Linked DNA regions of Xenopus tropicalis. The protein of the gene in region 1 binds, or shares a complex with, the protein of each later gene. Links are inferred from orthologs where the notes say so. Each region holds a gene or a part of one and is shown in the gene's direction. Other genes may lie near its edges.

Region 1 (4,049 bases):
ATTACACTATTGGCTGCACTATACACTATATAGTGCACTGTATACTATTGGCTACTCTTCAGTCTGTTTAACTATTTAAACACTACTGTTATTTTGTTCCTGGCTTAGCAGAGGATTTTTTTTCTTTTGTTTTTGTCTGTTCATGTTTCTAGTGAAGACTCATACCACAGCATATAAAACAGACCAATTCTGGCTGAAAATACAAGGCTATTGATATAAATATGAGTAGTCTTATTACAACAGTAATCCAGGGATTGGTCCATTTGTGGTTTTGGCAAAATAAATGAATTTTTTTTTACACTTTCTGGGGACAAAATGGAAACTTCTTTATCTGGGATATTAACCTTCCTGTGTCCTTTTTTAAATCTCCCCTCTTATTGCGTAAGGACAGCACCTCTGTCCATCTTCTTAGTCAATGTTAAAAAGCAAGTATTTTAATATATATGTCCTTTATTAATCCATGCCTATTACATAATTACATAATAAGTACATTATTTTTCATACATATCTTCTTGCTTTTTTAGGTTTTTGGTAAAATTGCCATGGTTGATGGAACGCAAATAAATCGCAACAACAACTTTCAGACTTTCCCTCAGGCTGTACTAGTGCTCTTTAGGTAATATATGTGTATAGTATGACACTGATAAAAATAGAAAAAAAGAAGATCCAAAGTTAGCAATTGGGAAAGTTGGGATTTTCACTAGAAATATCATGGAAGGCTTTGATATTGATTTGCATGTTTTGCATTTCCAAGTAGAAATGCAGTTTATTTATCTGATGAAAAAATACTGCGGATTTAAGTTTGTAACATTTCTGTTTAGGTGTGCAACTGGGGAGGCCTGGCAGGAAATTCTTCTGGCCTGTTCTTATGGAAAGCTGTGTGATCCAAAGTCTGATTTCCTGCCTGGTGAGGAATACACATGTGGGACCAGCTTTGCATACTTCTATTTCATTAGTTTCTACATGCTTTGTGCTTTCTTGGTAAGAGAGTTTCTAGAAGAACTAGTCTGCATTTTCATTTTATTGTTCTGTTCTTTAATAACTAGCTGTTATGTCATATTTCTACAGATCATCAACCTCTTTGTCGCTGTGATCATGGATAATTTTGACTACCTGACCCGTGATTGGTCTATTCTGGGGCCACACCATTTGGATGAGTTTAAAAGGATCTGGGCAGAGTATGACCCTGAAGCCAAGTAGGTGTATTGCTTTGCAAGAAAGAGATAGGATCATATTGGTGCAGAGTTCCAAATTCAGTGTTCACAGCACACTAGCTCAGTTATCCAGCAGTACACATGCAGAATGTCCCTCTTGTCCCACTCTCAGTAGCATAAATGCTGAACCCCCATTATAGAGGATGTTTACACCCAGCAGAAGGACTGCAAATTTCCTGGTATCCCCACATTAGAAATCCATCAGGACCGACAGCAAACACCATATATGTTATTAGAACAATATGCCTACTTACATGTTCTCTTTTATTTTCCACTGGTCATTATTCTGTTCTCTTGACTTTTCATCTATCTGTCTATTAAACACAACCCAGTTTTAGCTATGCCTTTTACCTCCACTCTTCACAACATATTTTTTTTCTTTTTCCTCTTTGCCTGTCTGTTCTCCTTCCCCCTTTTCTGCTTTTCAAAATTTTATACATGTAACTATTTGCAAAACTTACATTAATTAAATTAGTATTATATTTAGCATGTCTAGTCACTAGGAAAAAATTTATTTTGTAAGGTAATGCTATTAAAACAGCAGGTATAGGATGCTTGCATTTTATTCGAGTTGTAGGTTCAGCTCACTTGATCATTATGAATACTTTCTCAGAGCAAGCAAAGTGACTGATCTGGTTAAACCAGCAGATTACTCAGTCACAAAAAGCAGGACAAATCACACAGTAATTTCTGAATTCTGCACTAGCCAGTGGTGGTGTGCACCCCCTAACAGTCATAATCATTTCAACCCTGTGCAATTGGTGTTCCCAGGGCATTTAAACCCTTCCCCCAAAAAAATGTAGTTAGCGAACAGCCCCTTTGAAATATTCAAATATCTGCCAGTCCGGTTGTTAAAAGAGTCATAAGGCTGGGGCATCCCTTAAATCCCTTAAACTGGCGGCCCATGAGCAACAAAAAGACCCAAAAGAGTTTGGTCTGAAAACAATAAGGAAAGCAATATAATTTGAGAAACCAGATATGCAAATATGATATTTTAAAATTAATAAAGTTAATCTCTACAGGGGGCGAATCAAGCACCTTGATGTAGTTACACTCCTTCGACGAATTCAACCTCCTCTTGGTTTTGGAAAGTTCTGTCCTCATCGTGTAGCTTGTAAGGTAAAATATCTGTTATATTGGCTACAGAAATATATTATTATTATTACTATTATATATATACAGGTCCTTTTCAAAAAATTAGCATATTGTGATAAAGTTCATTATTTTCTGTAATGTACTGATAAACATTAGACTTTCATATATTTTAGATTCATTACACACAACTGAAGTAGTTCAAGCCTTTTCTTGTTTTAATATTGATGATTGTGGCATACAGCTCATGAAAACCCAAAATTCCTATCTCAAAAAATTAGCATATTTCATCCGCCCAATAAAAGAAAAGTGTTTTTAATACAAAAAAAGTCAACCTTCAAATAATTATGTTCAGTTATGCACTCAATACTTGGTCGGGAATCCTTTTGCAGAAATGACTGCTTCAATGTGGCGTGGCATGGAGGCAATCAGCTTGTGGCACTGCTCAGGTGTTATGGAGGCCCAGGATGCTTCAATAGCGGCCTTAAGCTCATCCAGAGTGTTGGGTCTTGTGTCTCTCAACTTTCTCTTCACAATATCCCACAGATTCTCTATGGGGTTCAGGTCAGGAGAGTTGGCAGGCCAATTGAGCACAGTAATACCATGGTCAGTAAACCATTTACCAGTGGTTTTGGCACTGTGAGCAGGTGCCAGGTCATGCTGAAAAATGAAATCTTCATCTCCATAAAGCTTTTCAGCAGATGGAAGCATGAAGTGCTCCAAAATCTCCTGATAGCTAGCTGCATTGACCCTAGCCTTGATAAAACACAGTGGACCAACACCAGCAGCTGACATGGCACCCCAGACCATCACTGACTGTGGGTACTTGACACTGGACTTCAGGCATTTTGGCATTTCCCTCTCCCCAGTCTTCCTCCAGACTCTGGCACCTTGATTTCCGAATGACATACTTTGGACCACTGAGCAACAGTCCAGTGCTGCTTCTCTGTAGCCCAGGTCAGGCGCTTCTGCCGCTGTTTCTGGTTCAAAAGTGGCTTGACCTGGGGAATGCAGCACCTGTAGCCCATTTCCTGCACACGCCTGTACACGGTGGCTCTGGATGTTTCTACTCCAGACTCAGTCCACTGCTTCCGCAGGTCCCCCAAGGTCAGGAATCGGTCCTTCTCCACAATCTTCCTCAGGGCCCAGTCACCTCTTCTCGTTGTGCAGCGTTTTCTGCCACACTTTTTCCTTCCCACAGACTTCCCACTGAGGTGCCTTGATACAGCACTCTGGGAACAGCCTATTTGTTCAGAAATTTCTTTTTGTGTCTTACCCTCTTGCTTGAGGGTGTCAATGATGGCCTTCTGGACAGCAGTCAGGTCGGCAGTCTTACCCATGATTGCGGTTTTGAGTAATGAACCAGGCTGGGAGTTTTTAAAAGCCTCAGGAATCTTTTGCAGGTTTTTAGAGTTAATTTGTTGATTCAGATGATTAGGTTAATAGCTCGTTTAGAGAACCTTTTCATGATATGCTAATTTTTTGAGATAGGAATTTTGGGTTTTCATGAGCTGTATGCCACAATCATCAATATTAAAACAAGAAAAGGCTTGAACTACTTCAGTTGTGTGTAATGAATCTAAAATATATGAAAGTCTAATGTTTATCAGTACATTACAGAAAATAATGAACTTTATCACAATATGCTAATTTTTTGAAAAGGACCTGTATATACTGTTTGATATCTTTCTCTAACGCTAATTCTTTATCTACAGAGATTGGTCAGTATGAATATGCCTTTAA
Region 2 (4,049 bases), on another chromosome or scaffold:
TTTACACCCCAGGGTGCAAGTGCTAGAGTGCTTAGGGGTACAAGTGCACGCCCCTTTATGCTCACCTAGGAAGCACTTGCACCCCCTTGGTAAACTGCGCTCTGCTCCTTTCAGTCTGGCTTTAAAGGCAACATGAGGAACAGAGTCAGGAGGCACAGCTAGCACTGCCTTAGGGGACCCTGTGATCATGGATGGGAGCCCTGACTACAGGTTCTGCTTCCTCTGTAGTTGTTAGAAATCCTTCCTCCCCAGCTGTGCAAGCCAGGCCCCTCTGAATATTTTTTTATAGGAGGGAGGCAGTGTGTTGTTATTGCACCACTGGGCCCCAATGTGGGCCATGCCTCCGGATGGTCTCAAACTTTCATGTCTAAATTAATTCCAAATTAGGGGGGCAGGTGGGGAGATGTCTACATGCCACCCCCACCTGCCCCTCTTGGATCAAGCACTGCAAAGTGCAAAAGAATTGCCAATTGCAGCCTGTTTCTGCAGTTTGCACGCTGCGTGGTGCATGATAAATTATCCTTATTGCCTTGAAAAAAGATTTACTAGTCCAAATGATATCGTATAACACATAAGCAGAAATTATAACATTATCTATGGCTGTTAAATTGTTCTCCAGTCTGATTATTTAACAGTTATATGGCACTCTAAAATATTAGCCCTAGCTACTGATGTCTGTTCCATAAGAGGCATTGATCTGTGCTTTAACTCACCAGTGATGCAATAGTTGCACTCCCTGAACCCTACCTTACAGTTCAACATTCATGCTGCTTGAATAGAAATGGAGGCTGCTGGGAGTATAGGAGGCCCTGTGACCTGGACTAGGGCAAACATTCAGTATACCCAAAATATAGAGAATAAAGAGGTGTTACAAATATTGTGCAGCTTCTAGTATACCATCATAATAATGTATAATATTTTTGTCTTTTTAGAAATTTAATAATGACTGGTGGATAGGTCGGCTTGTAAAAGAAGGCTGTGAAATCGGATTTATCCCTAGTCCTGTGAAACTAGAAAACATGAGGATACAACATGAACAAAAAACAAAGCAGGGGAAATTCTATACAAGGTAATCATATTGTTACTTTTAATGGTTTCTCAGTGGTATCAAAAGTTGAATATGACACTAGATTACATGCAGTGTAATGCAAAAATAATATATCATCCTTAGTGGAGGATTTGCTGTATCGGCACCTGTTCCTGACACAATGCTGTGCCGGCCAACACATACCATAAACAAACACGAACATATGATAAACATATTAAACATAACATGAAAATAAGATAAACATATCATGAACATATGATAACTTGAACGTTTGTATAACAAACAACCGTAACAATCCAATAACTGCGCAACGCCACTAGCACTGCCAGCTGCCATCCTAGCCCGGGACCACCAACTCCTCAACAAACTTACTTCCTGATACACCTCCTTACCCTTGAGGTGCCAGGCGTGCCAACCACCAATAACCATGCAACCATTGGTTCCCGGACTCAACCATTCCACCAGCCAAACTATAATATCAACTCACCTGTTTGGGGAGGGAGGGTGGGCGTTTTCCTGTACTGCCTAAAATGGACTGGAAGCGGGAAAGCACAGAGCTTCCTTTTATACCCCTGACTTGCAGCCATTTGAACCCACCAATCCCAAACTAGCTGGGAGTGGCTTACAACCCCTATGGCGCTGTCATGCCCCTGCCTCCCTACGCCCTGCTACGGGTCACCGGTCACTTGAATGAGATAAATGTGTGATAACACACGGCTCTATGCAGTCGTAACTGATAAACACAAACTCCATTATTGTTATACGGAACGCACAAGAGCTGGCTATATCCTGTAACATATTCACTTATATATGCTGTATAACTTATATATCCTCTTGTCAAATATAAGCAAAGTAGAAGTTAAAGGAGAAGGAATATTAGGCACCTCCCAGTGATTGTAATCGCTTACCTTTTACCCCTGACTGGTGCCCCTGTCAGCAGAAAAGTGCACCAACTCATCTTCCTCCTGTCTTCCTGGTCCCGGGGCCAACACATGTACAGGGAAAAGCAGCTTTTTTGTTTAAGTGGCAGAAAGACATAAGAAGGAAGAGGGTCACTCGCTAACAGGTACCCCCCTCCCAGCAGCCAATCAGCAGAACAATGGGAAGGGAGCAAGATAGCGGCTCCCAGTAGGTATCAGAATAGCACTCAATAGTAAGAAATCCAAGTCTGGCTTGGGACTCCTCCAAATATATGTGAGTAGGAGACAATAGGTTAGCTGAAAGCAGTTCTAATGTGTAGCGCTGGCTCCTTCTGAAAGCTCAGACTCAGGCACAATGCACTGAGATGGCGCCTACACACCAATATTACAACTAAAAAAAAATTTGTTCGTTCAATAATAAAATTTTAAATGGTAGAGTGAATTATTTAGTGTAATTAAGAAATACAAAGTATACCATAAAAATCATGACAGTATCCCTTTAAAGGTATGGGATAGCAACACATAATGCAGTGCTAGTTAAACATTTAGGTATCTGCTATGCTCTATATTTTCTAGTTATCACAAGAGATTAATCATTCTGATACTGCTTCAAAGGGGCAAATTGCCATGTTTGTACCCAAGTAATAAATATATATATTCTTTTCTCAATCTCAGTAAATCAGGGGGAAACTCTTCTTCCAGTCTGGGTGACGTGGTGCCTAGCTCCAGAAGATCAACTCCACCATCATCCGGTAAGCAAAGCCTTTCATAGAACACCCTTGGCGCCACTATAATGACCCAAGTCTTCTCTTTATCTTCTGCATTTCTCCAACCCCAGAAAGAAAGCTGAAATTTAGAAAACACAATTATGGGGAGATTACTCATAGGTCCAGGAGGGATTCCTGGCATTTTACCATTGATTCTAATTTTAGCACATTTATCATCTTTTTCCTGACATTCTGTAATTTTGTTAACAATTTTGCTCATTTATCAGATTATTTCTCTACTCACCCTCCACCCCCAACGGCTTTTCATCAGCATTTTTTCTCTAGTGGTCAAAAACCAGTGTTTTACACATAATCTTGCACATCACTCAACAAGTAATGTCTGTACATTAGCTAGAAAAGGTCCAATATAGCACAAAAAGATGAAAAAAGACCTATATACACATACACATTAGGTCTGATTGCTCCAATTGTGTTTCAATTAAAGGGAATTCCACATCCTTTTCTATCATGTTAGTTTATCAACAAAAACTTTACACAATATAGATCATTTACATTTTGTTTTTTTCAATCTTGGAATTCACAATCCCAGCTAGCAGGCAGGTGCCATTTTGTGGGCATTGTTATTAAGGCAAGTTTTGTATCCTGCCAAAATCTTGCCAGAATGGGGGACCAATGCCCATGCACAGGCTACACAGTTATAGGCAGTGAGGAGGGAGGTGGAATGTGAGGAGTGCAGTGACATTTAGGAAGTGCTGCATGGAAAGTGAAAGTAATTGACTGCCCCGCCTCAGGCAATAGATGATTAACAGCTGAGATTTTTACATACCTTTATACAGGTATGTGTGTTTTAATAAAAGTAAATATTTACTTTGCTAAAGACTTTTATTATCAGGATTTTTACGTGTGGGTACCCTGTAAGCAACAATTTAAACACAATATGACACATGTGGTGGGTGTGTGGGCCCCTGGGGTGGCAACCCCGGTGAACCCTGCACCCCCAGTCCAACCCTGGTGATGGATCAACCCACAGGCCAATGAATTGATACCATTTAAGCGCTCATTCATATTATGGCCACCTTTCTATCCTTCCATTCACTCTGGCCGACAGCATGGTGATGATTTAGTCATGCTAGTGTGAAGCAGCAAGCAACTTTTTGGAATTATGGAATTAAAAGCTATCAGCCCCTTAGTGCTCCTTTAAGAACCACCTGTGTCTGGGTCTGGATGTGTTCCGCACCTATTGCCAGAATGGAAATCCGGTTCCAGATGCAGAGTGGGCATAATAAAGAAAGCCCTGTCCTCACTGGCTGCCGTAGGGAAGGTACAGGGCTGCACTGTGGCCTGCAGTTGCCG
Region 3 (4,049 bases), on another chromosome or scaffold:
TGTTACCGTATGCTGCTGTAACAGAATTCTTGTGTTGGTGGTTTCAGTATACCTGGGTGTTCTTCTACCTGTTACAATTGAATGTTTTCTATATTAGAAAGGAACAAAATGTAAATTATTTGCTTAAAAAAGAGCCTATGGGAGATGGCCTTTCTGTAATTTGGAAGTTTCTGGATAATGGGTTTCTAGATAACGGGTCCTACACCTGAATTATGTAGCAGGGTTAAAATTACAGATGCATCCAGGGCAACAAGTTTGTTCCCTGCAGAGCTTACAATCTAATTGCTCTAAACCCGAGTCACAAGAACAGTACCTATAACCACTTTGATAAGCCTCCCTATTCCCCCTCACGTTCCCCCCCCACCCCCCCGTATTTCTCATGGCCGCATAGTAACGTGACCAGTTCCCATCCCAGCAGATAAATGGCTGCTCAGAGTGAGCTCACACTTGGCATTGTCCCAGTGTCTCCGGGGGAGAGTTTGTTTAAACGCTGACTTCAGTCTATACGTATAATAGGGATGTGGCACATCTCTTACATGTGTGAGGAGATAGAAAGGGTTAAAAAGCAGAAAAAATACATTCACGGAACTTATCCAGAAAAAAATATATGGAAATGGTGGCTGTAACATATGAATGGAAATGCTTTATTTGAGATGCAGACTATAAACGCTCAATGAGACCCCCTTTGGTTCCAGGGTACCTTTATGCTTCCTACTAACACGTCTGCAGACCCAACCTTCCTATAGATCTCAGCGGCACTATACCAAGCGCTGTTAATGGTGATTTAGATCCATATTTGTCTGTGCCCTTATCTTTTTCCTGCACCTTTCCTCTCTTTATGGAACTGACTTGTTTAGTCCCCCACCCACCCCCCCATTCCGTTCTCACCCCATTAATGCTCCCTCCACTCTCCTCATTGTGTCCTTCCAGTTGTGCCTAATTCATTGTGATCCAGCTGTCAGCGGTGTGCCCTGGGCACTGGTCATTCTCCGATGATAGCTGTGACCCTTGTCACCAGTCTGTAGGGCCTGTCACATCTCATCGGCACATTTGGTTGTTCTCGGGGGGCCCTATGACCTCTTGTGAGACAGAGAGCTGCACAGTAGGACCCCAGGGTGGGGTGGAAATAGCCCCAGTACTAGAATTCTCAAAACCTCAGAATCCCCCACTTTCTCCCCTGTTTCATGTTTTTCTATTCTCTTATTTGGTTGTTCTCGGGGGGCCCTATAACCTCTTGTGAGACAGAGAGCTGCACAGTAGGACCCCAGAGTGGGGTGGAAATTGCCCCAGTACTAGAATTCTCAAAACCTCAGAATCCCCCACTTTCCCCCCTGTTTCATGTTTTTCTATTCTCTTCTTTATTATTTCCTCACTCTCTCCTTCCCTGATCTCTTCTCCAGCTTCAGCGTTTTCGCCGTTCTATCTCTCTGAAGACAATCCTACGCAGCAAGAGCGTGGAAAACTTCTTCCAGAGGCCACTCACTGAATCCAAAATACCCTCTGATGTCCTTCTCAGCCCACCTGCCCCTCCGCCTCCCCCCTCTCCACCTCCGGTCCCCAGTGAGGTTCTCCCTCAGACTGAACAGTCCCCCCACCCCTGTCACAAGCCCCTCTCTGTCCTGCAACCTGTCCAAACCCACAGTTTCCATGAACACGTCTTCAAGAAACAGTGCCCCTGCCACTTGTGCCATCAGATAATTGTCGGTAAGTGACTTTGGGGTGGTAAAAGAAAACAATGGCTTCTGCTTTTAGCCCCAACTGCTATACAAAAAAAGCAAAGGGTAATTGGTGCTTCACCTCAGGCCATCAATGGATGTGACATGTGACATTTTTCCATGTGTCTTCCAGGAAACTCCAAGCAAGGCCTGCGCTGTAAGATGTGCAAGATAGGAGTCCATCTGTGGTGCTCGGAGGAAGTATCTCATCAGCAATGTCTGGGGAAGATGGTGAGATAAGTAGAAATGTGTTAATGGTGAATGCGCCCCCCACCCATGTCTTGCCTTCTATTTGCCTCTCTCTCTTCTATAAATGTATCTGCATTTCGTTCCATCTGCTCCCTGTTATCTCCAGCAGCCCTCCTTACATATATTATCCGCTTCCAGTTAAAAGGACAGTAACATCTAGAAATAAAGAGGCTGCTTATGGATTTAAATACCAGAGAAGGGTCGTTTCTAAGAGATGTTTCTGCGGGGGGAAAATCAGTGGAATCTCTTTTTTTTCCTCAGTACTGTACAAAACGTATGGAACAAATAGTAACGTTTATTCAAGTATTGTCAAATTTCACAGATTCCAGCAATACATAAATGACTGCTTTCTAATTGTATAGAAAATGTTCCCGACTTTGATTAATATGCTCCTTTCACTTTCTGTGTTCCACTCTATTCCCCTTCTCTTAAGACTCAAACAACTCCCTTCTTCTACTGTATATCCGTGATATGTACCCACTCCCTTCTTCTACTGTATATCCATGATATGTGCCCACTCCCTTCTTCTACTGTATATCCATGATATGTGCCCACTCCCTTCTTCTACTGTATATCCATGATATGTGCCCACTCCCTTCTTCTACTGTATATCCATGATATGTACCCACTCCCTTCTTCTACTGTATATCCGTGATACGTACCCACTCCCTTCTTCTACTGTATATCCATGATATGTACCCACTCCCTTCTTCTACTGTATATCCGTGATACGTACCCACTCCCTTCTTCTACTGTATATCCGTGATACGTGCCCACTCCCTTCTTCTACTGTATATCCGTGATACGTGCCCACTCCCTTCTTCTACTGTATATCCATGATACGTGCCCACTCCCTTCTTCTACTGTATATCCATGATACGTGCCCACTCCCTTCTTCTACTGTATATCCATGATACGTGCCCACTCCCTTCTTCTACTGTATATCCATGATACGTGCCCACTCCCTTCTTCTACTGTATATCCATGATATGTGCCCACTCCCTTCTTCTACTGTATATCCATGATATGTGCCCACTCCCTTCTTCTACTGTATATCCATGATATGTGCCCACTCCCTTCTTCTACTGTATATCCATGATATGTGCCCACTCCCTTCTTCTACTGTATATCCATGATACGTGCCCACTCCCTTCTTCTACTGTATATCCATGATAGGTGCCCACTCCCTTCTTCTACTGTATATCCATGATAGGTACCCACTCCCTTCTTCTACTGTATATCCATGATACGTACCCACTCCCTTCTTCTACTGTATATCCATGATACGTACCCACTCCCTTCTTCTACTGTATATCCATGATACGTACCCACTCCCTTCTTCTACTGTATATCCATGATACGTACCCACTCCCTTCTTCTACTGTATATCCATGATATGTACCCACTCCCTTCTTCTACTGTATATCCGTGATATGTTCCCACTCCCTCTATATCTGTGATATATGATATGTGCCCACATCTCCATTTCCCTCCTGGCCTTTATATTCATTCCCTCTCTCTTCTGTATCTCCAGTCACTTTTCTACTCCAGAATAATATCTTGGCTTTTGCTGTCTTCTTTCTCCTGTATCTAATATCCTCAGCAACTTTGTTAGAACTTGGCTTCTCTGCTTTTTATGCCCCCTCTCTAAACCTCCTCTCTGCCATTTCCTATCTTCTATCTATCTATCTATCTATCTATCTATCTATCTATCTATCTACCTATCTACCTATCTATCTATCTATCTATCTATCTATCATCTATCTATCTATCTATCTATCATCTATCTATCTATCTATCTATCTATCTATCTATCTATCTATCTATCTATCTATCATCTATCTATCTATCTATCTATCATCTATCTATCTATCTATGATGCCCTCATCAACACTATTCCTCTGCTTTTATGCCCTCTCTTCAATGTCCTCTTTTTATGCCCTCTCTCTAAACTTCCACTTTTATGTTCTTGTCACTTTTCTACTCCAGAATGACCCCTCTGCCATTTCCTATCTTCTATCTATCGCTTATATCTGATGCCCACACTATATTTCTCTTTTATATGCTCACTCTTATGTTCTCTTC
Region 4 (4,049 bases), on another chromosome or scaffold:
TTAAAAGGAGACACCGCAGGGATCTTTTTTTGCCCACTAAAGCACTGCAGCCCCTTCAGAATGGCCAAACATAGGGGCCCAACAATCACTAGTAAATTATATTTATGTAAAAGTCATTGTAGATTGCTGCCTACAGGATCACAGAGCCCATCTATGTCACACACCAAAACATTAATGGGATTGTCACCCAGCTCACCTCCTAATCAGAGCAAAGAGCATAAGTTCTCTGTGAAAAGAGTTTATGGGACATTAATACTCTCAATTATTTTTGAATGATTGTATTTAACTTTCTGTTTCTTCCTTCGCTTTCCCTAACTTCATTTTCCCTCTTTTACAGTAAATCCATTGGTAATTCCAACAGTTTAGGTGATGTGGTTAGTGGGACCCGCAGACCTACACCCCCAGCTACAGGTGAGACCCTCTCCTGCTCCAATCTACCATTCATTTATACAACTATCAAGTGCAGGTTCCTCCACCCTGTGTTTTAGCAGAGAAAATGGCTAGGGTAGGCGGGCCGGGCAGGATCAGTTTGGCCCTTGCAGGATAGACAGAAAAGGCATCATGCCTGCAAGAGAACAGGAAAGACTGAGTGGTAGAACAGATGATGAAGGAGATTATAGTGCAGGAGATGCAAATCCATGGCAGGCTGTTCAGTTAGACACTATATACCCCATCAGACTCCGATAACAGAAGGTTTGTCCCCTGTCATTTTCCTTGCACAGCCTGACAACTTTATTTCCATTCACTGCTTTATTTTCTCTCCACTTTACTTCAACAATTTTTTCTTCCATATTTTCTTTATGTAGTTCTTCCAGTTCTCCCCACTCCAATGCCTCCCTTCTTCCATCGTGTTTAGTATTTCCTATGTAGTCAAACATGATCTTATTTTATATTACCCTCTCATCTTTCCATTTTAACTCACCATATCTTTTACCTATCTCACTGTAACCTCATGTATTTCCTTTTTATACATTGTCTCATGTCCCTATGCTTTCCCACTCATTTTCTTACTGTACCCCCCGCTTCTTACCACTCACACTTGCTTTTTTTTCTTGGACATTCCCTTCCTATTCAGGTCCCCTGGAATCCCCTTTAGTTTACGATATAGATCACGTTGATTTAGAGTACGAGGAAACAGAAGCTCAAGCAGCTCAGCGCTCCCCCCTCAACAGCACAGGGAGCGTAACCACCCCTCCATCCACTACCAAACGGGTCCCTTTCTTTAAGAAGGTAACCCCCAGTCGCCATATCGTGCCACTAACCCTGCTTCTCCTGCAAGGATTGATATTTGCCCTAAGAGCTTACACTCTGTGCTGTGGAAATAATAACTGGAAATTTGAGTTTCAGTGAGCCTAGCAGATGCTTGCATTTCTATACATGCATGTATGTGTGTATAAATCTCCAATCTGTGTGAGTGTGGCAGCAAGAGAGTGTGCCTATGTGTGAGTTCCAGTTCTATGGACATATAGGTGTATGAGCAAGTGGAAGGCAGTGTGAATATAAGAATATTGACACACAGATGATATGCCTGCTTGTGTTTATGAGAGTGAATAAACCTAGTGTGTCTAAACAGAAGCAGGTGCATACTGACTCTATAGAACATGTACTTTGCATGTAGTTGAATATGTAGATACAGGAACATGCATGTTTCTGTACAGACGCATGCTCTTGTTCATACATATCTCAGAGAGTATACAAAATAACATGCATGGTTTTATTTTTACCTCTTCTCTTTGCTTTCTTATTCCTTCCTCCCTTGTTTCATCCACCTCCCGCCATCCATTCTGTTACTCATTTCCTCCCACTCACACCTTCCCGATCCTCACTCATCTCTTCTTCATTACTTTTTTGCCTTATACCCTTTCCACTATTTCTCTTCTCCTTCTCACTTACACCTCCTGTAAATTCCCTCTCCCCCTTCCCTATGTCTCCATTTTCTCCCCCCCTCACTGCGGTTATCCCTTCTTCAATCCACCCACATCCTCATCTATCCTCTATGTCTCTCTACACCTGTCACATTCCTCTCTCCCATTTCTTCTCACACTGGCATAGCTAAGCAGAGGCAGAAGTCAGTAAGTAATTACTTGTTTACTCGTTGTATCTGCATTATTTCTTCTATCTATCTTTCTTCTATCTATCTAGTCTTTATTTGTCCATGGAGGGTTTATGGCAGGGCAGAAAGCCCTGTCTGCATCAGAGAGACCCCTTGTCAATAATATATTTTATTAATAATAATTGTTCTGTATGCTTCGGGGGGCGGCTCCAGTTATTGCTCAGGAAACCCTGAATTTATGAATTATTTTCTTTTCAAATGATAGCGCCCAGGCTTTCATCATTGCCAGGGGGTCTCTCTGTAACCATGGCCCTCTTATCTCTTTAGCTGTCACTTTCAGTCTGTGACATTCTTTTGGGTACTGTGCCTTTCAGTAAATAATGCATGCCATGCTGTCTCTGAACTTCTGCTGTGGGTGCAGTGAGGTGTTGTGGTGTTGGCTGTAAATGCATATACCATATAACGATAATAATACGTATACAGAGCAATATGCGTGGGAGGTTCTTTCAAACCCTGGAACACTCCATGTGAGTAAACAGAGGTGAGATAATTCATCTTTTCTTTTACAGACAGAGCACATCCCCCCTTATGATGTTGTTCCATCCATGAGGCCGATCATTCTAGTGGGACCATCTTTAAAGGGTTATGAGGTGACCGTGTACCCCCAAACCTATTCGCCACTTGACTAGATAGTCTTTCAGATTTCCTTCTCTCCGCATTACTCACTTTTCTGTTTCCTGCTGTGTATCCATCATGCAGTCAGTCATACTTTGGGCTTTCCTGCCTCCCCCTTTACTTAAGCTGGCCATATTGGTACTGATACTGTTATAGATATAGGGTTTCATGTGATTTTCTGGATGTGTATTTCCAAGAAACAATTGGAACAGATGACTTCATCAAGGTTTGAACGTTTCAGCTGGCTTGGCTCAAACAGACAATATGATAATGATAGTGGAAAAAAAGGATGTTGTTCCCAACTGGTTCCAGACTGGCTTCTTTAAATGCACTGGCCATTTGCACACTGGACTTTGTTTTTTACTGAACAATAGGTTATATGATATTATATGAATTTTTTTCATACTTGTCTTTGCCTTCCCTTCTCCATCCAATCCACTTCTCTGTTTCCCTCTCTTGTCAGTCATACCTCAGTGTCTTTTATTTTCTCTCATCCCTGTAGCACCAGTTTGCCAGACCTCTCCTTCTTTCTTTCTAAAGCCTCTTTTCCTCTCCTGCAGGTCACAGATATGATGCAGAAAGCTTTGTTTGATTTCTTGAAGCACCGATTTGATGGGAGGTACAAATTTTGTCATTTTACATACTTGCAAGTGTGATTTTGAATCTAGATCTTCTGAGGTTTAACAACCCTTAAGGTTCCCCACACATATACCTTGGGTGCCTTCTATGTATATACATATAAGTAGTAGAGATGCTGTGGCCTTCAGGTTATATACCTCATTATCCCCAGATACTAAGGGTTTTATTAGTAACCTCCACAGCTAGAGGTTAGAACTGGATTAGCAATCTGTGGGTTCTGAAATGCCAGGGCCTATTTTGACTCCAAGTCCAGAACTGATAATTCTCCACTATGAAAGAGGGAAGGATAGATACAGGCCCAGACTGGCAATCTGTGGGTTCTGGCAAATGCCAGAGGGGCTGCTGTAAGATGCCATAGGCAGTCACTATTTATTGGGCTGGGGGGCTGTTTGTGCCTCTGGGTACTGGGAATGCCAGGGGGGCTGTAAGGTGCCACAGACAGTCACTATTTATTGGGCTGGGGGGCTGTTTGTGCCTCTGGGTACTGGGAATGCCAGGGGGGCTGTAAGATGCCATAGACAGTCACTATTTATTGGGCTGCTGGGGGGCTGTTTGGGCCTTTGTGCCAGGGTCTATTTTGAATCCCAGTTCTAACCAGCTGCCATTCAGCCACTTAAGGCAAAAAAAGTTGTTTGTAGGGAAGTATAAATATGTTTTTGCTTTGCCATTTATGTCATTTTGA
Region 5 (4,049 bases), about 72 Mb from region 1:
ACCCCCACTATAACAGAAAGTAGTGTGGAAGCAAAAGGCAGAACTCTGTCCATTAATTGGCTGATGAAGCCTAGCATGTGCCTTGGCTTGTTTGTGAATAATATGATCCCAGGAGATGACCCTTAATTCTTAAAATGGCAGTTTTTTACATATGAGCTTGTTTATGCAATATATTTTATAGAGACCTACATTGTTTGGCAGTATAGTTTTCCTTTAATATAGGGGCAGCGCTGCCTCAGGGGCCAAGTTGATGCCACCCCCAGCTCCCCTCCCCCCATTTTAAAAATTGGAATTTCGGCTCTTTAAGTTACCAGGAGTGTTTTTTTGCCACCCCTGGTAAATTGCCAGGCATTGCCACCTTAGGCGAGTTTCCTAACTCGCCTCATGACTGCAGTGCCCCTGTATAGGGGTAATATATATATATATATATGCGCTGATTTATCTGTTAATCACCGTGCATAATTTCCCATGTACATACATTCCAGGTGCTGCAAAGATTAATAAAATCCAGGGGAAAATCTCAAGTCAAACATCTCAATGTCCAGATGCTGGCAGCCGACAAGCTGATACAGTGCCCTCCGGTGAGTGAGAACATTAATGGCAGCAACTGTTGTGGAGTCTCTCTTTTATATTGCTGGAGGTGAACTCTGTCTTTATTTTCATGTGGTTGCTCCCATGGGAATGTAGATGAAAAATAAAACTTAAGGCTCATGGCACACGTGGCTAATTGCTGGGTGAAAAACACCAACAGAGAATATGCCAATGGGGCCGTGAGTCTAGTGCTTTTGTACAACAAAAACCAGGGCTTAGGTTTCGAATTTCATCCATTTTACTCCTTGTTTGTTTATAAGTATCACTCAGGTATAGTATTTTATGATGTTTAGGTTTATTTAATTACTATTTCTTTAGTTCTGCATGGAAACTGCTATCTTGTTATTTGAATCATATATCTTGGTTTCTTATTGTTTGCTACCAGCTCTGTTGCTAGAGATGTTTCTTATTATATGAGTCCCAGAGATCAGGGCTTCAAGATAAGTGGCCCCTTCATCTTTAGGTAAAATACGGGTAGTTGCAGGGGGTTAATGTGAGACACAGTCGTATATGATTGTGACCTTATTAGGAATGTATCTTGGGTGTATCAAGCTGTAATCAGGTGTAGCCTATGTTGGTAGCTAGTCCTGTTTGTGCGCCTCTATGGTCACATACAGACAGTCATTTTGACTTACCAAACTCCATTCAGCAACTAAATGTGTGTAAATTCAGGCTAAATCTGAACTAAAGATTTTATCGAACATCAAGCCCAGATCTGATTGCTGCATCCTGGCTAGCACACAAATCCCATCTATAAGGTGTGTATGTGATGAGACAAACACACCAAATTAAATTTCCCCTGTGTCACACTGTAATAATAAATCAGAGATGATTATTAAGCCATTGGAAGATGAATTCTAATGATGATTTACTGCCAGTGGTGTTAGCAAATAGCACTAAGCCATTTTAGGTTATGACTCATGAAACATATAGAAGTGATAGATCTAAAGGCACGTTAGATGTCATCTGAATCTGATAATCTAATGCTTGAATGTTTGGGAGGGCAGGCCCCATAAAGTTCCAAAATTATTTGACCTTAATAGTATAAGTAGTGAATTGATGAAATGTTGCATTGAAAATGTGCAGCAAAACTGAAACGTAGCATAAATAACCCAGCTCTAGTACCAGCAGCCTTTCTATATTTCTGTATAACATGATCTGTCACCGGTGTCAGGCCCTTCTCCATGGACACTGGCTCACTGAATGAAATCTGACAGCTGCTTTGTGCATGAATGATTTCTTTGCTCTTCTCTAGGAACTGTTTGATGTGATATTGGATGAGAACCAGCTGGAAGATGCCTGTGAGCACCTTGCTGAGTATATGGAGGTTTACTGGAGAGCCACACACCACCCGCTGCACCCCCAAAACAGTCAGAACCTTATCACACCCCCAACTGCCATTCCTGGTTTACAGGTATATAACTTGAAGTTCTAAATAAAGGATAGATGATTTTTTGCCTTATAAAAGGAAACCTAATTCTAAGAAAATTTGCAAAACAATAAAACTATTGAAAATGTTTAATTAAAGTTATTTGTAAATGTAGGTTTGTGAGGTTAGTATTACGGCTGCTTCTGATTCTTGAAACTGTGTAACAATGCTGCTTCAGCCACCTTGTTAATTAGCAGGCTTCTGCTATATTGTTTCAACTGCCAGAACAAGCAGCACAGGGACTGCTGAGCTGCAAGTTGGAGTGATATTACCCAACTCAATTACGCTCTCTACACTAGCGATGCCCCCACCCTTCGGGGGGCCAGCATCGGAAGACGCCCCTGTGTGTAGCACTGGCTCCTTCTGAAAGCTCAGACTCAGGCACAATGCACTGAGATGGCGCCTACACACCAATATTACAGCTAGACAAATAAATTTGTTGGACTAAGAATAACATTTTAAATGGTAGAGTGAATTATTTGCTATGTAAATAGTGTAATTTAGAAATAAAAAGTATTCCATAAAAATATTGACAGAATCCCTTTAAATAGTTTGCCCAATGCAAAACTGAAAGAAAACAAAGAAACAAATAAATGGGCAAGCTGATCGAATAAGCGAACATTGTATTGTATGATGCTGGTGTTGAGACCTCAGTGGCGGCACTGCTATCGTGAAGCAATCTTGCATGACAATTTTTCCTTACTGGGAGTCTGGAGAATGACAGCGATACTTAGGTCGGGGCTGGGATTTTAAAATAGGCCCTGGCACTTCAAGTACACAGAGGCCCAAACAGCCCCCACCAGCCTACTAAATAGTGACTGTCTATGGCATCTTACAGCAGCCCCTCTGGCATTTGCCAATCTGAGCCTTGACACGGAACAAAAGCTTCATTAAAAGTGGCATTGCTACGTATGTCTATAGTTGCTACAGCAATTGCCAAAGACAACAATCTTACATTTATATAATGTTGTCTGATGTGTTCTGATCTTATTTACTATTCCTGTTTAGAAGCTTTTTGTATCCTATACTATATGCCTTCAGCTGGGGCAGATAAGCCATGCCTTCCTCCTGCCCCATGTACTGTACCTGTATAATACCAGTCAATGCTGCAATTTCTTCTGTGTTTGTGTGCATGATGTGAAATGCCTGACACTGTCAGTTAACAAGTGTTTCTATTTACATTCAGGACCAGCAGCTTCTCTCTGATCGAGCCAATGAGCACTCACCCTTGGAGCGTGACAGTTTGATGCAATCAGATGAGGCGAGTGAAACATCCCGAAAAACATGGACAGCTTCATCACAAAGAAGCTCTCACCATCTTGAGGATGAGTACTCTGACACCTACACTGACCTGTACCAGCCCCACAGGCACCACAACAGTGGACTGAACAGCACGAATGGGCATGACTCTCAGGACCGGCTCCTGGAGCGGGATTCTGAGCAGAACCATAATGATAGGAACTGGCAGCGTAACCGCCCATGGCCTAAGGACAGTTACTGAAAGGGATCTCACTGCACACACCCGTCCTACACACATACACACACTCCTCCTGCATGGCAGTGCATGTCAGGAGGCACAACCACTGAGTGCAAATTCCAGGGTAGCTCCAAGAGGCAAAACTGTACTGGTGAACAACAGCCCTTTTTACATATACCAGGTGCCTGGTAGCTATTGGCTGCAAAACAAAGGTGAGACGGTAGAACAGAGAGAGAAGTAGATGCACATATGCAGCGCCTGCTGCCAAAATGGATCAAAAAAATTAAGACAAGGTATTTTACAGTCCAAGGCAGCATGGTGCTTAACACACACAACCAATTCTATACACCCACGAAAGCTGGTAGTATTGAAAGGCCTCCTATGGGAATCTCTTTGGGCTGTATCCACACATACCTTCTAGCACTTCCACAATACACAGTCACAGGTTTACACAACAGAGTGGCAGAAGTCCTTCCTACAGTGACACAAGTGTGTCAGTCAAGGTAAGAGTGAGCTTTGAGTGGAGTGTGGGGTTCGGGTGACTCTCCTGCT
Region 6 (4,585 bases), on another chromosome or scaffold:
GCAGAGTTCCCCTTTAATAAACTGCATGGTGTCACTTTACATGGTACTGTGCCCCCCCCCCCCCCAATCCTGCATAAAGCAATGAGGGGGTTGATAGTGACTTGGTGCAAGAGGCTGAAAGGAGCAAAGGCTAGTACAGGGGCAGTATGGGGCAGTTGGGGTAGGAGCAGGGGCATTATGGGGCAGTTGGGGTAGGAGCAGGGGCAGTATGGGGCAGTTGGGGTAGGATGGGGCAGTTGATCAATAGTAGGGGCAGGACGGGGCAGTTGGGCTAGGAGCAGGGGCAGTATGGGGCAGTTGGGGTAGGACGGGGCAGTTGATCAATAGTAGGGGCAGGACAGGGCAGTTGGGCTAGGGGCAGTATGGGGCAGTTGGGGTAGAAGCAGGGGCAGTATGGGACAGTTGGGGTAGGAGCAGGGGCAGTATGGGACAGTTGGGGTAGGAGCAGGGGCAGTATGGGACAGTTGGGGTAGGAGCAGGGGCAGTATGGGACAGTTGGGGTAGGAGCAGGGGCAGTATGGGACAGTTGGGGTAGGAGCAGGGGCAGTATGGGACAGTTGGGGTAGGAGCAGGGGCAGTATGGGACAGTTGGGGTAGGAGCAGGGGCAGTATGGGACAGTTGGGGTAGGAGCAGGGGTAGGGGCAGGGGCAGTATGGGACAGTTGGGGTAGGAGCAGGGGCAGTATGGAGCAGTTGGGGGGGGGGTATGGGCAGTTGGGTAGGATGGGCAGTTGATCAATAGTAGGGCAGGACGGGGCAGTTGGGCTAGGAGCAGGGGCAGTATGGGGCAGTTGGGCTAGGACGGGGCAGTTGATCAATAGCAGGGGCAGTATGGGCAGTTGGGGTAGGAGCAGGGGCAGTATGGGACAGTTGGGGTAGGAGCAGGGGCAGCATGGGACAGTTGGGGTAGGAGCAGGGCAGTATGTGGCAGTTGGGGTAGGAGCAGGGGCAGTATGGGGGCAGTTGGGTAGGAGCAGGGGCAGTATGTGGCAGTTGGGGTAGGAGGCAGGGGCAGCATGGGACAGTTGGGTAGGAGCAGGGGCAGTATGGGGCAGTTGGGGTAGGAGCAGGGGCAGTATGGGGCAGTTGGGGTAGGAGCAGGGGCAGTATGGGGCAGTTGGGTAGGACGGGGCAGTTGGGGTAGGAGCAGGGGCAGTATGGGGCAGTTGGGGTAGGAGCAGGGGCAGTATGGGGCAGTTGGGGTAGGAGCAGGGGCAGTATGGGGCAGGATGGGGCAGTTGGGGTAGGAGCAGGGGCAGTATGGGGCAGTTGGGGTAGGAGCAGGGGCAGTATGGGGCAGTTGGGGTAGGATCAGGGGCAGTATGGGGCAGTTGGGGTAGGACGGGGCAGTTGATCAATAGCAGGGGGTTGTGCAACTATCAGAGTGACAGGAGGGACGGGGGAAGTTGCGACACTTGGAGTGAAGGTGGCACCCCCCCCCCGCTCCGTGTATTAATAAGCCCCCCCCGCCCCCCCACCCATGTCTGTGCCCAGTTGGTGACTGATCCCAACAGCTGCTCCCGGGCCCGGCCCATCCCAGTCTCCCCCAGTGTCGGCCCCAGTAGCACAAGGAGCCACAGAGCAGAGGGAGTAGACTGAGCGCTCACTAGCCAAGGGCCCCAGCCAGTAGCCATGAAGGAGCTGAAGGTGCTGAAGATCCGGGTCACGTCCTGTATCGCCCTGGTGGGCATCTCGCTCATGTTGGCGGCCGTAATGAGCGACCACTGGGCCGTACTGAGCCCCAAACTGGACGACGACACCCAGTCCTGCGAGGTGGCCCACTTTGGCCTATGGAGGCTGTGTAAGAAGAAGATTTTCATGAGTGATCAGGAGACTATGATCAAGGGATGTGGCCCCCTGAGCCTTCCTGGGGGTAAGTAAGTCAGGGTAACCAGGCAACAAAGATTCTTTCCCCAACTTGCCCCCCAAATTCTGATTCCAGGGTTCCCATTTCATCTGGGGGCCAACCTGTAACTGTTCCACATAGGGGGGCTGGAGTGTGGGGGCCGGGGGGGCCCTACTTAATGAACAATTGATATTGGTTCCTTATTGCCGTTGGGCACTCACTGGGTAGGTCCCTTGGGCGCTCACTGGGTAGGACCTCAGGGCGCTCACTGGGTAGGACCTCAGCCGGGCACACTGGGTAGGACCCTTGGGCACTCACTGGGTAGGACCCTTGGGCGCTCACTGGGTAGGACCCTTGGGCGCTCACTGGGTAGGACCCTTGGGCGCTCACTGGGTAGGACCCTTGGGCGCTCACTGGGTAGGTCCGTTGGGCGCTCACTGGGTAGGACCTCAGGGCGCTCACTGGGTAGGACCCTTGGGCGCTCACTGGGTAGGACCTCAGGGCGCTCACTGGGTAGGACCTCAGGGCGCTCACTGGGTAGGACCTCAGGGCGCTCACTGGGTAGGACCTCAGGGCGCTCACTGGGTAGGTCCATTGGGCGCTCACTGGGTAGGACCTCAGGGCGCTCACTGGGTAGGACCTCAGGGCGCTCACTGGGTAGGACCATTGGGCGCTCACTGGGTAGGACCATTGGGCGCTCACTGGGTAGGACCTCAGGGCGCTCACTGGGAAGGACCTCAGGGCGCTCACTGGGTAGGACCTCAGGGCGCTCACTGGGTAGGACCTCAGGGCGCTCACTGGGTAGGACCTCAGGGCGCTCACTGGTAGGACGATTGGGCGCTCACTGGGTAGGACCTCAGGGCGCTCACTGGGTAGGACCTCAGGGCGCTCACTGGGTAGGACCTCAGGGCGCTCACTGGGTAGGACCTCAGGGCGCTCACTGGGTAGGACCTCAGGGCGCTCACTGGGTAGGACCTCAGGGCGCTCACTGGGTAGGACCTCAGGGCGCTCACTGGGTAGGACGATTGGGCGCTCACTGGGTAGGACCTCAGGGCGCTCACTGGGTAGGACCTCAGGGCGCTCACTGGGTAGGACCTCAGGGCGCTCACTGGGTAGGACCTCAGGGCGCTCACTGGGTAGGACCTCAGGGCGCTCACTGGGTAGGACCGTTAGGCACTCACTGGTAGGACCTCAGGGCGCTCACTGGGTAGGACCTCTGGGCGCTCACTGGGTAGGACCGTTAGGCACTCACTGGTAGGACCTCAGGGCGCTCACTGGGTAGGACCTCTGGGCGCTCACTGGGTAGGACCTCAGGGCACTCACTGGGTAGGACCTCAGGGCACTCACTGGGTAGGACCTCAGGGCACTCACTGGGTAGGACCTCAGGGCGCTCACTGGGTAGGACCTCAGGGCGCTCACTGGGTAGGACCTCAGGGCGCTCACTGGGTAGGACCTCAGGGCGCTCACTGGGTAGGACCTCAGGGCACTCACTGGGTAGGACCGTTGGGCACTCACTGGGTAGGACCGTTGGGCACTCACTGGGTAGGACCTCAGGGCACTCACTGGGTAGGACCATATGGCAATCCGCTGGCCTATGAGGCTCAGTATACCAAGGCAGGACCATCTATCACTGGTGCGGGGGGAGTAGGGCCCATGGATTATAGGAGGGGCCACCTCTGTCTGCAGCCCCCCCACACTCATGGGTCTGCCCCCACCCAGTGGCCCCATGTGTGGTGATTCAGGTGATGCCCCTCCCCAGTATCTGGTCACTGGGGGTAAGAGGCAGAGCAAGGGACCCCCTAAACTTCTCCCTGCCCTCTACCCCATATTTCCTACCCCTATGGGGGGTTGTTAGTGATCACTGGGCAGAGGGAAATACATAAAGTATGTATGTAAATAGGTATGTATGTATGTAAATAGGTATGTATGTAAATAGGTATGTATGTAAATAGGTAAGTATGTATGTAAATAGGTATGTATGTATGTAAATAGGTATGTATGTATGTAAATAGGTATGTATGTAAATAGGTATGTATGTAAATAGGTATGTATGTAGGTAAATAGGTATGTATGTATGTAAATAGGTATGTATGTATGTAAATAGGTATGTATGTAAATAGGTATGTATGTAAATAGGTATGTATGTAGGTAAATAGGTATGTATGTATGTAAATAGGTATGTATGTAGGTAAATAGGTATGTATGTAGGTAAATAGGTATGTATGTATGTAAATAGGTATGTATGTATGTAAATAGGTATGTATGTATGTAAATAGGTATGTATGTAGGTAAATAGGTATGTATGTATGTAAATAGGTATGTATGTAGGTAAATAGGTATGTATGTAAATAGGTATGTATGTATGTAAATAGGTATGTATGTAAATAGGTATGTATGTATGTAAATAGGTATGTATGTAGGTAAATAGGTATGTATGTATGTAAATAGGTATGTATGTATGTATGTAAATAGGTATGTATGTAAATAGGTATGTATGTAAATAGGTATGTATGTAGGTAAATAGGTATGTATGTAGGTAAATAGGTATGTATGTATGTAAATAGGTATGTATGTAGGTAAATAGGTATGTATGTAGGTAAATAGGTATGTATGTAGGTAAATAGGTATGTATGTAGGTAAATAGGTATGTATGTAGGTATAATTTGTGTACAAATTGTAGCCAAATATTGCTTCTAGCTGCTATGTAGCCTTTAAACCAATGAATCACTTCCATGTGAG
Region 7 (4,838 bases), about 76 Mb from region 1:
AACCCATGTTGTGTGGTTTGTTTGGCTTCCCCATTATCTGCTCTTTGTATGAAAGATGCTCTGCCATATATAATAGGGTGACAACCCTGTGCCTCCTCTAAACGGGTGACATTTAATTGTTTTTATTATCACTGGTTGATCATTTGTACCACTATTCCATCTGCTGATCAAGATGTTGCCCTGCGCATGGTGCATCAGCAGACGAGCAAACTGGTGCTGGAAACACATATAAACTTATAGCTGCTCCATTCTAGAAAGTTAACCCCCCCCCGTAACAAATCTAGCTGCACATTAGCACTAAACGGAAGAGCGTCACAATAAAATGTACACTTTTTTATGCTATGAGAATAATTCTCCAGATTTTGAACAGAATAAAAAAAAAAATAGAATGTTGTGTTCTTTGGTCATCAAGGAGACTCATTGGAGACTCCCCTGCCCCCCTGAATTGGCTTCTGTGCCCACTCCCATATGAATCCCCACACCTGCCTGTTCTCTTACCTGAAAGCTGACGCGGAGCAGAGATTTATATGCAGTACTGGAGGAAGCAACCCCTGTGGTCCGGGCCCCCCTGTCCCCTGCCCCCCCCCCCATCCTGGTGACTGTGGGGTCTGCTTCCTCCATTCTTACGCCACTGTTAACTTTTAGTATGATGTAGAGAGTGACATGCTGAGACAATCTGCAGTTGGTCTTCATTTTTTATTATTGGTGGTTTCAATGCATTTAGCTTTTTGTTTAGCAGCTATTCAGTTTGGAATTTTAGCAGCTATCTGGTTGCTAAGTTTCAAATTACCCTAGCAACCAGGCAGTAGTTTGAGACTGGAATATGAATAGTAGAGTGGATGAATAGAAAGATAAGTAACCCCCGTTTGAAAGCTGCACAAAATGATACAAAAAATATAAAAAGACCATTGAAAAGTTGCTAAAAATTGGCCATCCCATGAAATTAATTTAAAGGTGAAACACATTTCCTGAAATTATTATAACAGAATGTTTAGAGCCAGTGTTGGAATGTTTTGAGTCTCTTGAATTCTATCCATGGAATGCAGTGAATGTGTTGGGTAAAATATCTTCCAATGCTTAGCATACTGACTGCCATTTTTATATTACACAAAGCATATAAACTGGTGATTCCCCAACACATAACCTTTAGTATTTCACAGAGCAATTTAATCTAAGCAATCTAAGCTTTATAGATGTTTTTCTTTCTTCTGAATAATTTACCTTTCTGTTTGCCTCCCTTCTGGAATTCCTTCTGCCAAACCACAAACAGGCCTGAAGCCTTTTCCTGGCATTTCATATTCATTAGTGGGAAAGAGGGAAAAAAAAGCACATTTAAAACCAAAACATATTATCATTTCCAAGTTGAATTCCAGTAAAAATAGGAATTGTTTTGTGTGTGTGACAAACTCCCAGGAATGAAATGACTCCTGCGCTTTCCTCAGTTTCCCACCTCTCAGCCACCTCTCCAATTCCTGGTTGGGCCTACTGCCTCCGTGCTATGGCTGCTTGTAAAGTTTCCGATTTCTCTGTGTCAGCCTTTGCCTCTCAGCTGTCCTGTCACCTCCACACTTGTCACTCCCTCTCCTCTGAGGAGCAGTTTGTTTCATTATCTGAGAGGAGTGAACGAAGGATCTCTGTGCCCCTCACCTAAGGTCTGAAAGTGCCTTCTGAAGACAAAATGTTCCAGTAGATCCCCATCTGAGAACTACAGGTGTGTAAGGTTTGTCTAGGCATTGTACGCCATTTCTGTTTGCCCTTTAATGCTTCTTTGTATTTCCTTTTAAATGATCTTTATGCCACATAAAACAAAATATCATGTACCTGCTTGGATTTCATTTTAGTTATCTTGTAAAGAAAATTCCACATACACAATGTTTCGGCCACATCAAGGTTGTTAATAAATATATTGATCTTTATCATTATTTATAGCAATGATATATTTTTGTGAGTTTAAATACAGTGGAACTGTAGTGTTTCAGCTGAGGCAGAAGCGCAGGGATTCTGATAGTTGTAGTTCAGCAAGAATTATGGGGGAAAGGGGGCAAGATGCCTATTCCTGAAATAGGCACATTACCTTGGTTTCATTTGCTTTTCTGACTATAGCAAGTCACTAACAAATGCTTAACACAAATTGTAAGCTCTTTAGACAAAGATTTATTGCTTTACAGGGGATGCAATCATTATAGTGTTTGTTCTAATACTTTAGATCACTGTATAGGGATTTCTTGTGACAGTGATTTATTTCAGTTTTAGAAATATTTTATTTATCTTTATGTTTGCATTTAATGTCTATATCCTGTTACTTCTGCCTTATGGCTGAGATTCTAGCTATCCTTATAAAATAACATTTGGTTATAAGAGTCATGGAGCACCGGTCCGGAACCCACTGTTTCCATCACTGCAGCCTTTACAGTCCTTAAATGGATACACGGAATGCTGGAAAACTAAGCTTAGGCAGCGCAAACCAAAACACTGTTGCAATTTGATTTTATATCATAAGTAAAAGAAAATCGAACAGATCTTGTTTCTTTAAGTCTTGCCTAGTAGTTAAAACATTTTTCAAACATTCTACTGCTTATTCATTCCCCCCGACATTATAATCTGATAATTTTTTTCATGCTGTGAAACAAGTTGGCTGCCATACATTTTAGAGAACCAATAAAATAGCTTATAGGCATATCTTATCTAATCGACTCATTTTCAAAACCCACTGTGATCACCCATCTTTCCTCCCAGTGTGTAAGCAATAAACTTTAGTGGGTGTGTCAGTGGCACTTTGCCAAACATCCGCTTACATTCCTGCCAATGCTGATTAAAAATGGGGATATTTGTGGCCATGTTTCCACTCCACAAGACCACACCCAAACCTGCCCATAACTCCACCCACTTTTCAGTAAGCCTGCGACCATTTCATAACCCAAAACATGAGACTGCCCTAGCTAAAATGGAATGGTTAGTGGCCAAAAAAATTGTCTTCTCTTGTCTTTAACTTTTATTTATTCTAGGATAATTCCATACTAGATATGTTAGGGGATCTAATGTAATTTAATCTCTTTACCTCTTGTTTGGTCCTAATAGCTGCCTCCTGGGGCTGTAAGGTAGTGTGAAACACACACATCACTCAGGTGCTGCCAAAGACTCCCCAATAAGAAACACCAGTATGTTCTTCCATTCAGTAGCAGCCTTTATACATGTACAGTATGTGTGTGAGTATGAGTGCCAGCATCTACATCTACTTCCATCCAAATATTTTGGAAGGTGCTTTCTCTTTACAACAAGATGCAAACTGCCTGTGTCACATTCACTGTTTCTGTCCTGTCTTTGGACACATAAGCTGTTAATTTTAACCCCTCGCATCTACAAAAAGTATACAGTCAGCTGCCAAGCCTTTAGAATTTGTGTGGGATGATGTCCCATCAGAGCGCTCAGACAGAGTACAGCTGTTATCAGCCATCAAACATGGCTTTTAATATCTCCAGGGCTTCAGTTACACTGCTTACGAAAATAGTTTGTCCACAAAACCCCAAGCACTGTCTGTGGTTAATATACCGAAAGCTTCAGGCGTCTATGGTTTTCTGCTTGCTGTATTTGCGTAATTATACTGCATGCATTCAAACAATGGTATTTAAACAATGTGTAGGTGGCATATAGGAATACAGCTGGTAGGGAGTATGGCGCCAACAGCTCTAGAACACCCTTGTGATGAAAGAATTTTCATAGTTCCAGAACGTTCAGTGAACTAGTGGTTCTCTGTACAAAATACGATGATGAAAGAATTTTCATAGTTCCAGAACATTCTGTGAACTAGCGGTTCCCTGTACAAAATATGAGATGAAAGAATTTTCATAGTTCCAGAACATTCTGTGAACTAGCGGTTCCCTGTACAAAATATGAGATGAAAGAATTTTCATAGTTCCAAAACATTCAGTGAACTAGCAGTTTTCGGTACGAAATACAATGTTCTGTTGCTTCATTAGATTACACATGGCACCCATAGGGATCCTCAAAGAAAGCATTTACTGACTGGATCAGATGTCGGATACAGGTATGAGATCTGTTATCTGGAAACCATTTATTTAGAAAGCTCCAAATAATGGAAGGGGACATCTCCCATAGACTCAATTTTACCCATATAATTTTATTTTTTTTTCTCTGTAATTATGAAACAGTGCCTTGTACTTGATGGTAGCTAAGCTGTGAATCCATATTGGTGGTAAAACCATCCATTGGGTTTGTTTAACGGTTTAATTATTTTTTTTTTTGTGGACTTAAAGTATGAAGATCCAAATTATAGATCCATATAGATTGTAAGCTCTACGGGGCAGGGACCTCCTTCATCTTGTGTTTCTGACTCTTATTCCAACTGCACCTTGTATTTATTGTTGTACTTTGTATTTATCCATTATCTTTTGTATTTATCCATTATCTTTAACCCCCTGTCTGTATTAATGAATTCTACTGTACAGCGCTGCGTACATAAGTAGCGCTTTATAAATAAAGATATACATACATACATTATGGAAAGAACCCTGAGCCTTCTGGAAAACAGGTCCCATACCTTGAACACACAGATATAATGCTAGTTAGCACAATCCTGTATTTTAGCCTCATGTATTTGGATTACTCTGTAGGCTACTGTATCTAGATAGCAGCCAAAATAAACTTATGGTAAGTCAGTATTTATGAATCAACCATTTTTATGGCAGTGTACAAAGGGGGCGAAAAATTAATAGAGGCTGAATCCTGCCTTTTTGAAGCTCAGCTGTTCTGTGACAAAGCTGGCGGCTCCAGAAAAAGGTTGTCATTACATTCTGACTCAGAGAGGCATGGGATTGATC

What was found.
Region 2: cacna1s (region 1) and cacnb2 share a complex: the UniProt entries of both Homo sapiens proteins name them as parts of the calcium channel complex. The link is inferred for Xenopus tropicalis from reciprocal best matches to the Homo sapiens genes CACNA1S and CACNB2.
Region 3: the proteins of cacna1s (region 1) and stac2 are in contact, whole or in part, in a crystal structure (PDB 6B27), measured with the Homo sapiens proteins. The link is inferred for Xenopus tropicalis from reciprocal best matches to the Homo sapiens genes CACNA1S and STAC2. Residues at the interface, in NP_000060.2 of Homo sapiens: Glu749, Pro750, Glu751, Ile752, Pro753, Ser755, Pro756, Arg757, Pro758; in NP_945344.1 of Homo sapiens: Tyr301, Lys302, Phe303, Gln306, Glu307, Asp310, Asn326, Asp328, Trp329, Phe340, Pro342, Asn344, Phe345.
Region 4: cacna1s (region 1) and cacnb1 share a complex: the UniProt entries of both Homo sapiens proteins name them as parts of the calcium channel complex. The link is inferred for Xenopus tropicalis from reciprocal best matches to the Homo sapiens genes CACNA1S and CACNB1.
Region 5: cacna1s (region 1) and cacnb3 share a complex: the UniProt entries of both Homo sapiens proteins name them as parts of the calcium channel complex. The link is inferred for Xenopus tropicalis from reciprocal best matches to the Homo sapiens genes CACNA1S and CACNB3.
Region 6: cacna1s (region 1) and cacng1 share a complex: the UniProt entries of both Homo sapiens proteins name them as parts of the calcium channel complex. The link is inferred for Xenopus tropicalis from reciprocal best matches to the Homo sapiens genes CACNA1S and CACNG1.
Region 7: cacna1s (region 1) and stac3 share a complex: the UniProt entries of both Homo sapiens proteins name them as parts of the calcium channel complex. The link is inferred for Xenopus tropicalis from reciprocal best matches to the Homo sapiens genes CACNA1S and STAC3.

The regions. Positions count from the first base shown.
Region 1 is NC_030678.2:63,894,231-63,898,279, forward strand, and holds part of cacna1s (voltage-dependent L-type calcium channel subunit alpha-1S), read left to right. Parts: intron 1-524; coding exon 525-616; intron 617-821; coding exon 822-981; intron 982-1,068; coding exon 1,069-1,196; intron 1,197-2,236; coding exon 2,237-2,333; intron 2,334-4,021; coding exon 4,022-4,049. UniProt on the Homo sapiens protein: Pore-forming, alpha-1S subunit of the voltage-gated calcium channel that gives rise to L-type calcium currents in skeletal muscle.
Region 2 is NC_030682.2:28,138,870-28,142,918, reverse strand, and holds part of cacnb2 (voltage-dependent L-type calcium channel subunit beta-2), read left to right. Parts: intron 1-932; coding exon 933-1,069; intron 1,070-2,643; coding exon 2,644-2,720; intron 2,721-4,049. UniProt on the Homo sapiens protein: Beta subunit of voltage-dependent calcium channels which contributes to the function of the calcium channel by increasing peak calcium current. Plays a role in shifting voltage dependencies of activation and inactivation of the channel.
Region 3 is NC_030686.2:10,320,112-10,324,160, forward strand, and holds part of stac2 (SH3 and cysteine-rich domain-containing protein 2), read left to right. Parts: intron 1-1,400; coding exon 1,401-1,704; intron 1,705-1,848; coding exon 1,849-1,946; intron 1,947-4,049. UniProt on the Homo sapiens protein: Plays a redundant role in promoting the expression of calcium channel CACNA1S at the cell membrane, and thereby contributes to increased channel activity. Slows down the inactivation rate of the calcium channel CACNA1C.
Region 4 is NC_030686.2:10,406,635-10,410,683, forward strand, and holds part of cacnb1 (voltage-dependent L-type calcium channel subunit beta-1), read left to right. Parts: intron 1-337; coding exon 338-411; intron 412-2,052; coding exon 2,053-2,072; intron 2,073-2,622; coding exon 2,623-2,703; intron 2,704-3,288; coding exon 3,289-3,347; intron 3,348-4,049. UniProt on the Homo sapiens protein: Regulatory subunit of L-type calcium channels. Regulates the activity of L-type calcium channels that contain CACNA1A as pore-forming subunit.
Region 5 is NC_030678.2:135,967,304-135,971,352, forward strand, and holds part of cacnb3 (voltage-dependent L-type calcium channel subunit beta-3), read left to right. Parts: intron 1-485; coding exon 486-581; intron 582-1,846; coding exon 1,847-2,005; intron 2,006-3,206; coding exon 3,207-3,521; 3' UTR 3,522-4,049. UniProt on the Homo sapiens protein: Regulatory subunit of the voltage-gated calcium channel that gives rise to L-type calcium currents. Increases CACNA1B peak calcium current and shifts the voltage dependencies of channel activation and inactivation.
Region 6 is NC_030686.2:51,096,792-51,101,376, forward strand, and holds the start of cacng1 (voltage-dependent calcium channel gamma-1 subunit), read left to right. Parts: upstream 1-1,575; 5' UTR 1,576-1,632; coding exon 1,633-1,873; intron 1,874-4,585. UniProt on the Homo sapiens protein: Regulatory subunit of the voltage-gated calcium channel that gives rise to L-type calcium currents in skeletal muscle. Regulates channel inactivation kinetics.
Region 7 is NC_030678.2:140,076,418-140,081,255, reverse strand, and holds the start of stac3 (SH3 and cysteine-rich domain-containing protein 3), read left to right. Parts: upstream 1-1,612; 5' UTR 1,613-1,720; intron 1,721-4,838. UniProt on the Homo sapiens protein: Required for normal excitation-contraction coupling in skeletal muscle and for normal muscle contraction in response to membrane depolarization. Required for normal Ca(2+) release from the sarcplasmic reticulum, which ultimately leads to muscle contraction.